Linked DNA regions of Danio rerio. The protein of the gene in region 2 interacts with the protein of the main gene of each other region in a biochemical or structural test. Links are inferred from orthologs where the notes say so. Each region holds a gene or a part of one and is shown on either strand. Other genes may lie near its edges.

What was found.
Region 1: of the proteins of pdgfrb (region 2) and ptprja, one has a biochemical effect on the other in vitro, tested with the Homo sapiens proteins (2 studies listed by IntAct). The link is inferred for Danio rerio from reciprocal best matches to the Homo sapiens genes PDGFRB and PTPRJ.

Annotation. Positions count from the first base shown.
Region 1 is NC_133182.1:39,918,302-39,922,143, reverse strand, and holds part of ptprja (receptor-type tyrosine-protein phosphatase eta precursor), read left to right. Parts: intron 1-1,568; coding exon 1,569-1,823; intron 1,824-3,842. UniProt on the Homo sapiens protein: Tyrosine phosphatase which dephosphorylates or contributes to the dephosphorylation of CTNND1, FLT3, PDGFRB, MET, KDR, LYN, SRC, MAPK1, MAPK3, EGFR, TJP1, OCLN, PIK3R1 and PIK3R2. Plays a role in cell adhesion, migration, proliferation and differentiation.
Region 2 is NC_133189.1:3,712,470-3,716,311, forward strand, and holds part of pdgfrb (platelet-derived growth factor receptor beta), read right to left. Parts: intron 2,556-3,842; coding exon 2,384-2,555; intron 2,243-2,383; coding exon 2,127-2,242; intron 1,037-2,126; coding exon 913-1,036; intron 1-912. UniProt on the Homo sapiens protein: Tyrosine-protein kinase that acts as a cell-surface receptor for homodimeric PDGFB and PDGFD and for heterodimers formed by PDGFA and PDGFB, and plays an essential role in the regulation of embryonic development, cell proliferation, survival, differentiation, chemotaxis and migration.

The DNA.
Region 1 (3,842 bases), on a different chromosome or scaffold from region 2:
CAAAGATGTTTTATAGTAGAGCTAACGCTAACTTTGTATCCCTCTAATTGTAAATTGAGTTGCGAGATCTGCTGTGTACAAGATTTAGGCCCAATAAGTAATAATTCTGTTTTGTCTGAGTTTAGGAGAAGAAAACTGTTGGTCATCCAGTCTTTAATGTCTTTGATACACTCAGTTAGTTTAGACAGTTGAGACGTCTCGTCAGGTTTAGTTGAAATATATAATTGAGTATCATCTGCATAGCAGTGAAAGCTGATCCCATGTCTTCTAATAATGTCTCCCAGAGGTAGCATGTAAATTGTAAACAGCAAAGGGCCTAAAACTGATCCTTGAGGCACCCCATACTTTACTGGGCTGACTTGTGAAGGCTGTCCATTAATATTCACAAACTGCTAACGGTCAGTTAAGTATGACTTAAACCATTATAGAGCCTGTCCCTGGACACCTGTAGACTTTAAGCGATTTATGAGGATATTGTGGTCAATGGTGTCGAATGCCGAACTAAGATCAAGTAAACTAATAGCGAGACGCACCCTCGGTCAGCAGCTAAGAGTAAATCATTGGTTATTTTCACTAATGCGGTTTCTGTACTGTGATGAGCCCTGAAACCTGGCTGAAACACTTCAAAAATATTGTTCATCTGCAGAAAGGAGCATAATTGAGTAGAAACAACTTTTTCTAGTATTTTAGACATAAATGGAAGATTTGAAATAGGCCTATAGTTAGCTAAGTTTTTGGGGTCCAGTTGCGGTTTCTTAATAATAGGCTTAAAAACAGCTAGCTTGTAAGAGTTTGGAACATGGCCTATAGATAAAGAAGAGTCGATAATGTTAAGAAGAGGCTCTCCTATTGCAGGTAGCAGCTCTTTCAGTAATTTTGTTGGAATTGAGTCCAGCATACACGTAGCTGGTTTAGAGCTATTTATAATTTTATCTAGCTCTTCCTGTTCTATGATTTTGAAGCAGTGTAGGTTATTATTATGATTCAATCGGACCGAGGAGGGGAACAGAAATGCTATATAGCATCGCCATAATGGTTGTTCCTTAGCTGTAAGCGTCAGTCTCTTCAGCTTAAAAGGATGGCGTTTCCTTGCTTCCCTGTGCTTATATGCGGAGCTAATGGGCAATGAGGCACACGTGCGCAAGCTTACGCTGCCAATTCATTTGGCATTTCAATACTCTTAGCATTGAAGTTCCCCTCCTCGGAGATATATATATATATATATATATATATATATATATATATATATATATATATATATATATATATATATATATATATTTTTTTTTTTTTTTTTTTAAGCTCCCCAATTTAATTCCTAATATTCAAAAATGCAATTACAATTAGTAACACTAGGGAATACTTTGTACTTCAATGGCTTGTCATACTGTAGGTAACTGGAAAAAAATATTTTGTGTGCAGAGACATAATGTGACTTTCTACACCTCTTTACTGGTGTGTTTTAAAAAGACACCAGTCCGATTGATAACATCTGAAAAATTATGCTTGCATCAGGAAATATGTTTGTCTATGTTTGTATCACACCTATGATTACATTGTCATTTCAGTTCCTACTCCTCCTGGCGAGATCAGCACAACGCAGAGCACAAACACACTGAACATCAGCTGGGCTCAACCACTCAACATGAGCTCAGTATCTTACTACTTTCTCTTGCAATACAACAACAGCACTCTCATAAATTGCAGCCAAAACTACACCTCTCTGACAGGCCTCAATGCTGGTTTCCCATACAACATCATCATGTGGACTGTTGGTGCAATGAATTACTCAAGCTCTTCTAAGAGTCTCACTGCATTTACAAGTAAGCAGTTTGCAATTATTCATGATTAATCGTATTAACGACTTTCTTGCTATAAATGAGATTTTATTAGTTGTGTATAGACATCAGTTCACTTCAATTACAAGAACCACAAAGAAAAATGAATAAGATTTTTATTTATTTTTCCAGATGCAAATCATGTACCTTCAGTGTAAAAACGTCTTAAACTGTCTAAAATTTCAAAACCTTAACTTCAGGTCTGAAAAAGTCCTAAAAATTTATAAAAATTTAATGATATATTGTGTTGTAGGTCTTAAATTGTTTTAAACAGGTCTTAATTTTGCTTTGTCCAAGTAAAGCTACTCAATTTGGGCTGATATCCATCTAATGACCAACACATCCCTATAAAATCCAATTTTTTATTTTTCTATAATTTTTTTTATAGCAAAGAGATAATTCACAACAGCTGTTAGACATTTTTACAGCAAATTCCTCAAATAATTTCCTTAATCAGGGAAAAATAAACTTAAAGCAATTACACGATTCCTCACGATAATACAAGACCATTCAAAACATCTTATCCCTGTAAAAGTCTAAAATTTCATTCTTGATGGTCTTAAAGGGGTCTTAAATTGACCCGATGATTTTTTTTATTATTACAATTTTTTAAGTTAATTTATTAAGTTCTTCAAGTGTGTATCGCTTTTCATAATAATTATTGTTTTAAAGCAGCTTCATAAAAGGTGCACATCATCACATTACAGTCAATATCAAAAAAGGTAAGGAGTTGTGTATAGGGAAGAAATAAACATAGTTAGCCCGCAGTTATACAGTCTATAGTTTCTCTCCAAAAAGGGTATATATATATAAATATAAATATATATATATATATATATATATATATATATATATATATATATATATATATATATATATATATATATATATATATATATATATATATATATATATATATATATATATATACACACAGTTGAAGTCAGAATTATTAGCCCCGTTTTGATTTTTTATCCCTTTTTAAAATATTTCCCAAATGATGTTTAACAGTGCAAGGAAATTTTCACAGTATGTCTGATAATATTTTTTCTTCTCGAGAAAGTCTGATTTGTTTTTATTTTGGCTAGAATAAAAGCAGTTTTTAGTTTTTTAAAAGCCATTTTAATGTCAAAATTATTAGCCTCTTTAAGCAATTTTTTTCCTGATAGTCTACAGAACAAATCATCGTTATACAATAACTTGCCTAATTACCCTAACCTGCCTAGTTAACCTAATTAACCTAGTTAAGCCTTTAAATGTCACTTTAAGCTGTATAGAAGTGTCTTGAAAAATATCTAGTTAAATATGATTTACTGTCATTATGGCAAAGATAAAATAAATCAGTTATTAGAGATGAGTTATTAAAACTATTATGCTTAGAAATGTGTTAAGAAAATCTTCTTTCCGTTAAACAGAAATAGGGGAAAAAAATAAACAGGGGTGCTAATAATTCAGGGGGGCTAAAAATTCTGACTTCAACTGTATATAAACAGAATTTGCACTAAGGATAGGAGGGTTTTTAAAAAAAAACCTGCACGTGCAAAAGACATAAAAACGGTCTCTGAAGCAATTTGTTGGTGTGTTACTATGTGTTAGTGTTCATCACAGTTTAATAGTTTGGTCATTTCTCCAGAGTTTACAGCAACTCTTTCACAATTAATGCTACAAACTCACTTGCTTTACGTTTTATCAGTTTAAGATTCCAGCGCAATACACAGCAGAAACTCAATGTTTTTTTTTCTCTTTTAGCTAAGTTTTTTTTAAGTATACTGTACATGTTCTTGCACAGAAACACAGGCTGAATGCATGTAACATAATGTCAGATTAGCCATATTTAACAGTTAGTTAACCCAGTGTCAAAAGTGAATGTACACATTGGTGGATGACAGCAGCCAAAATTACATTTATCCTGAAATTACACATCTTATACTAAAATAATGTGTATATTAATAATATCAACCTTCATCTTTCTTTAAGGTTTTGATTGCTTGGCTCTGAGAATAG
Region 2 (3,842 bases):
TAACAATCCATCCATCCATCCATCCATCCATCCATCCATCTATCTACCTGTCTGTCTGTCTGTCTGTCTATCCTCCATCCATCCATCCATCATCCATCCATCCATCCATCCATCCATTCATATATCATTCTTTAATACATCCATCAATCCATCCATCCATCAATCTATATATCATTCATTTATACATCCATCCATGAATCCATCTACACATAATTTATTAATCCATCCATCCATGCATCTATCCATCCATCCATCCATCCATCCATCCATCCATCCATCCATCCATTCAATACTATATCCATCCATTCATCCATTCATCAATCCACCCATCTATATATCATCCATTAATACATCCATCCATGCATGTAACAATCCATCCATCCATCCATCTATCCATGTATACATCCATCCATCAATCCATCTACATATCATTCATTAATCTATTCATCCATCCATCCATCGACCCATCCATCCATCCATCCATCCATCACTATACTAACTTGTCCATTTGACTAAATATTATCCATCTATATACAATATTATCCATTAATAAATCCATTCATCCATATATCCATACACCCATCAATCCAACCATCCATCTACAAATGATCTATTAATAAATTGATCCATTCATCTATGTATCTATTCATTCATTCATCTATTTCTCCATCAATCCATTTATCCATCCATCTATATATCATAATTAATACATCCATCCATCTATATATCATTCATTAATACATCAGTCTATATATCATCAATTTATTCAGCCCTCCATCTATTCATTCATCCTTCCATCCATCCATCAGCAAAGAAACCAATTTAAACCCTAAAAAATTCACTGATACTAATTTGATGATAATGATGATGATGTTTATGAAGATGATGATGATGATGATGAAGTGTCATCACCTGGTCATGCTGTCGCAGCTGAACCACTGAATGCTGGGTTTGGGCACTCCTTCTGCCACACAGGTCACTGCGTGCTTCTTCTCCGGCAGGTGATGATCTGACAGCTCCGTTATCTGAGGAGGAACTGCAGAAGCAGACAAAAGATCTTCACATGAAAACCTCACTCAATAAACCAGACGGGTGAACAACAATTAATTCTTTAAAAATATAAATAAATATGTCATTTTTAAATACAAATAAGAAATATCACAGTCATAATTTAATAGTTAATTAAAAATACTATTGATACCAAACAAATATATGTTGATCAATTTATTCTAAAATGTTTTTAAATATATACATATTTATAACATGCATAATTTATTATAACCAAATTAAATGTTAAATAATAAGGTAATTTAAAAAATGTCATATTATTGCAGAAATTAATTAAATAAAAATCCAACTTAGTTTTCTTTTTTGTTCAGTAAATAAAAATAAAAAATATATATTTTTTATAATAAAATAAAACAATAAAATAAAATAAAATAAAATTAAATTAAAAGCTTTCTTTTGAGGGGTGGCTTGTGATGTAGGGAGATTTATTCATATTTATTCATATTTATTTTTATTTTATTTTTTATTTTTATATTATTATTTTTATTATTTATTCATATAATTTTTATTTAACTTATTTGACGAAAAGATAAAAAATATAATAATAAAAAATATAAAATATAATAAAATTAAATTAAAGTCTTTTGAGTGATGGCTTGTGATGTAGATAGGTTTATCCATATTTTATTTTTATTTTTATTATTATTTATTATTATTATTTTTATTATATTATTATTTTATTATTTATTCATATCATTTTTTTACTTATTTGCCAAAAAAAAATAAAATAAATAAATTGAATTAAATTAAATTAAAGTCTTTTAAAGGGTGGCTTGTGATGTAGGCGGTTTATTTATACTTATTTTTATTATTAATATTATTATTGTTATTATTATATTAATTTATTATTTATTTCTATAATTTTTATTTAACTTATTTGACAAAAAATTAAATAAAATAACTTTCACAGTAGTTTCAGTGGCTAATAATAAAAGTTAACTGGTTCCGCAGTATTCCTGGCAGCTGGTATTATTCTTGCTGCTTCCCATCTTAAACCAACATGGGTGTCTATTTTCAGGAAATGGGGTGGTGTGTAAATGGATGTTGAACCGTCTCACCTTTCACCTCTAGGTCAAAGATCATCTCTTTGAGGGCGTCTTCATTTTGGACGGTGACTTTGTAGAGACCCATCTGCTGCAGTCGAGTTCTGACCAGGGTCAATGTGCTGACAAACCTGCAACGCATCCAGTGCTGCATCAGTGTCTGTTTATATATATATCTCTGTTAAATCTCTGCTGATCTTCAAGCAGAGAGTAAATCTGCATTTGCTTTCAGCCTCTGAAGAAGAGTGTGAGTATTTGAGGGTCATGAATACCTCGTTTCGTGCTCCTCCCTCATGCTGTGTCCTCTGATAACAGCACCGTCTTTCCTCCACTGGACTGTAGGTTTGGGATACGCCTCGATCTCCACCTTCAGCTCCACGTTTTCTCCGAGCTGCGCAGAGATGTTTCTGTCCAGAGGAGGAGTCAGAGACACAAAACCCTTCTCTGCAGACAGACAAAAAAAAAAAAAGATCACGTGTGGAATAATCAGTATTTGCTTCATTAACAAAATCTATATGAAATGTATAGATTAATAACAAACAAAACAGCAAGACACGACAAAAGTAAATTAAACTACATTTTCTGATTACTGCCAATTGCCTAGTGGTAAGTGTGTCGACATGTATTGTCATTGTGTTTTGCGCATCTTGATTTCGAATACTGGCTTGTGGACATTTCCCAACTCCATAATTCAAGATTATTTGTATAGCGTAGCGCTTTTATTTATTTATAGGGCATTAATACCATCAACCATTCCCATTTTATTAAGGTGCATCCATATAAATGGCCCACCCTGTACTATGACAATGATCGCCTCAGGTACTTATTATGAGCTTTATTCAGTATAAATGTAACCAGTAACCGAGTTTTAATACATTTTTGGCCTGACATTTATAACCATACTGAAAGCAGCAGCAGATAATTTACCTCAGAAAATGAAATACAAGTACAGTTTGAACATGAACGTTAGAGCTGTGAATATCACTACAGTTTCCATTTCCGCAGCAAAACAAGAGCATAAAATACTATGACAATGATCGCCTCAGGTACTGATTATGGGCATTATTCAGTATAAATGTCACCAGTATGAGTTTGAATACTATTTTTCCTGACATTTATAACCATACTGAAATTAACAGCAGATAATTTACCTCAGAAAATGAAATACACGTACAGTTTGAACATGAACGCTAGACCTGTGACTCTCAGAACAGTTTTTATGACCACAGCAAAACAACAGCATAAATTAATATGACAATGATCGCCTCAGGTACCGATTATGGGCATTATTCAGTATAAATGTAACCAGTATGAGTTTAATTACTATATTTTTTCTGACATTTATAACCATACTGAAATTAACAGCAGATAATTTACCTCAGAAAATGAAATACACGTACAGTTTGAACATGAATGTTAGAACTGTGACTATCAGTACAGTTTCGATTTCCGCAGCAAAACAAGAGCATAAAATACTATGACAATGATCACCTCAGGTACTGATTATGGGCTTTATTCAGTATAAATGTAACCAGTACGAGTTTGAATACTATTTTTCCTGACATTTATAGCCATACTAAAAGCAACAGCAGATAACTTAAATCAGAAAATGAAATACACTCACACTTTGAACATGAACATGAACGTTAGAGCTGTGACTGTCAGTACAGTTTCTATTTCCGCAGCAAAGCAACAACATAAACTACGATGACAATGATCGCCTCAGGTACT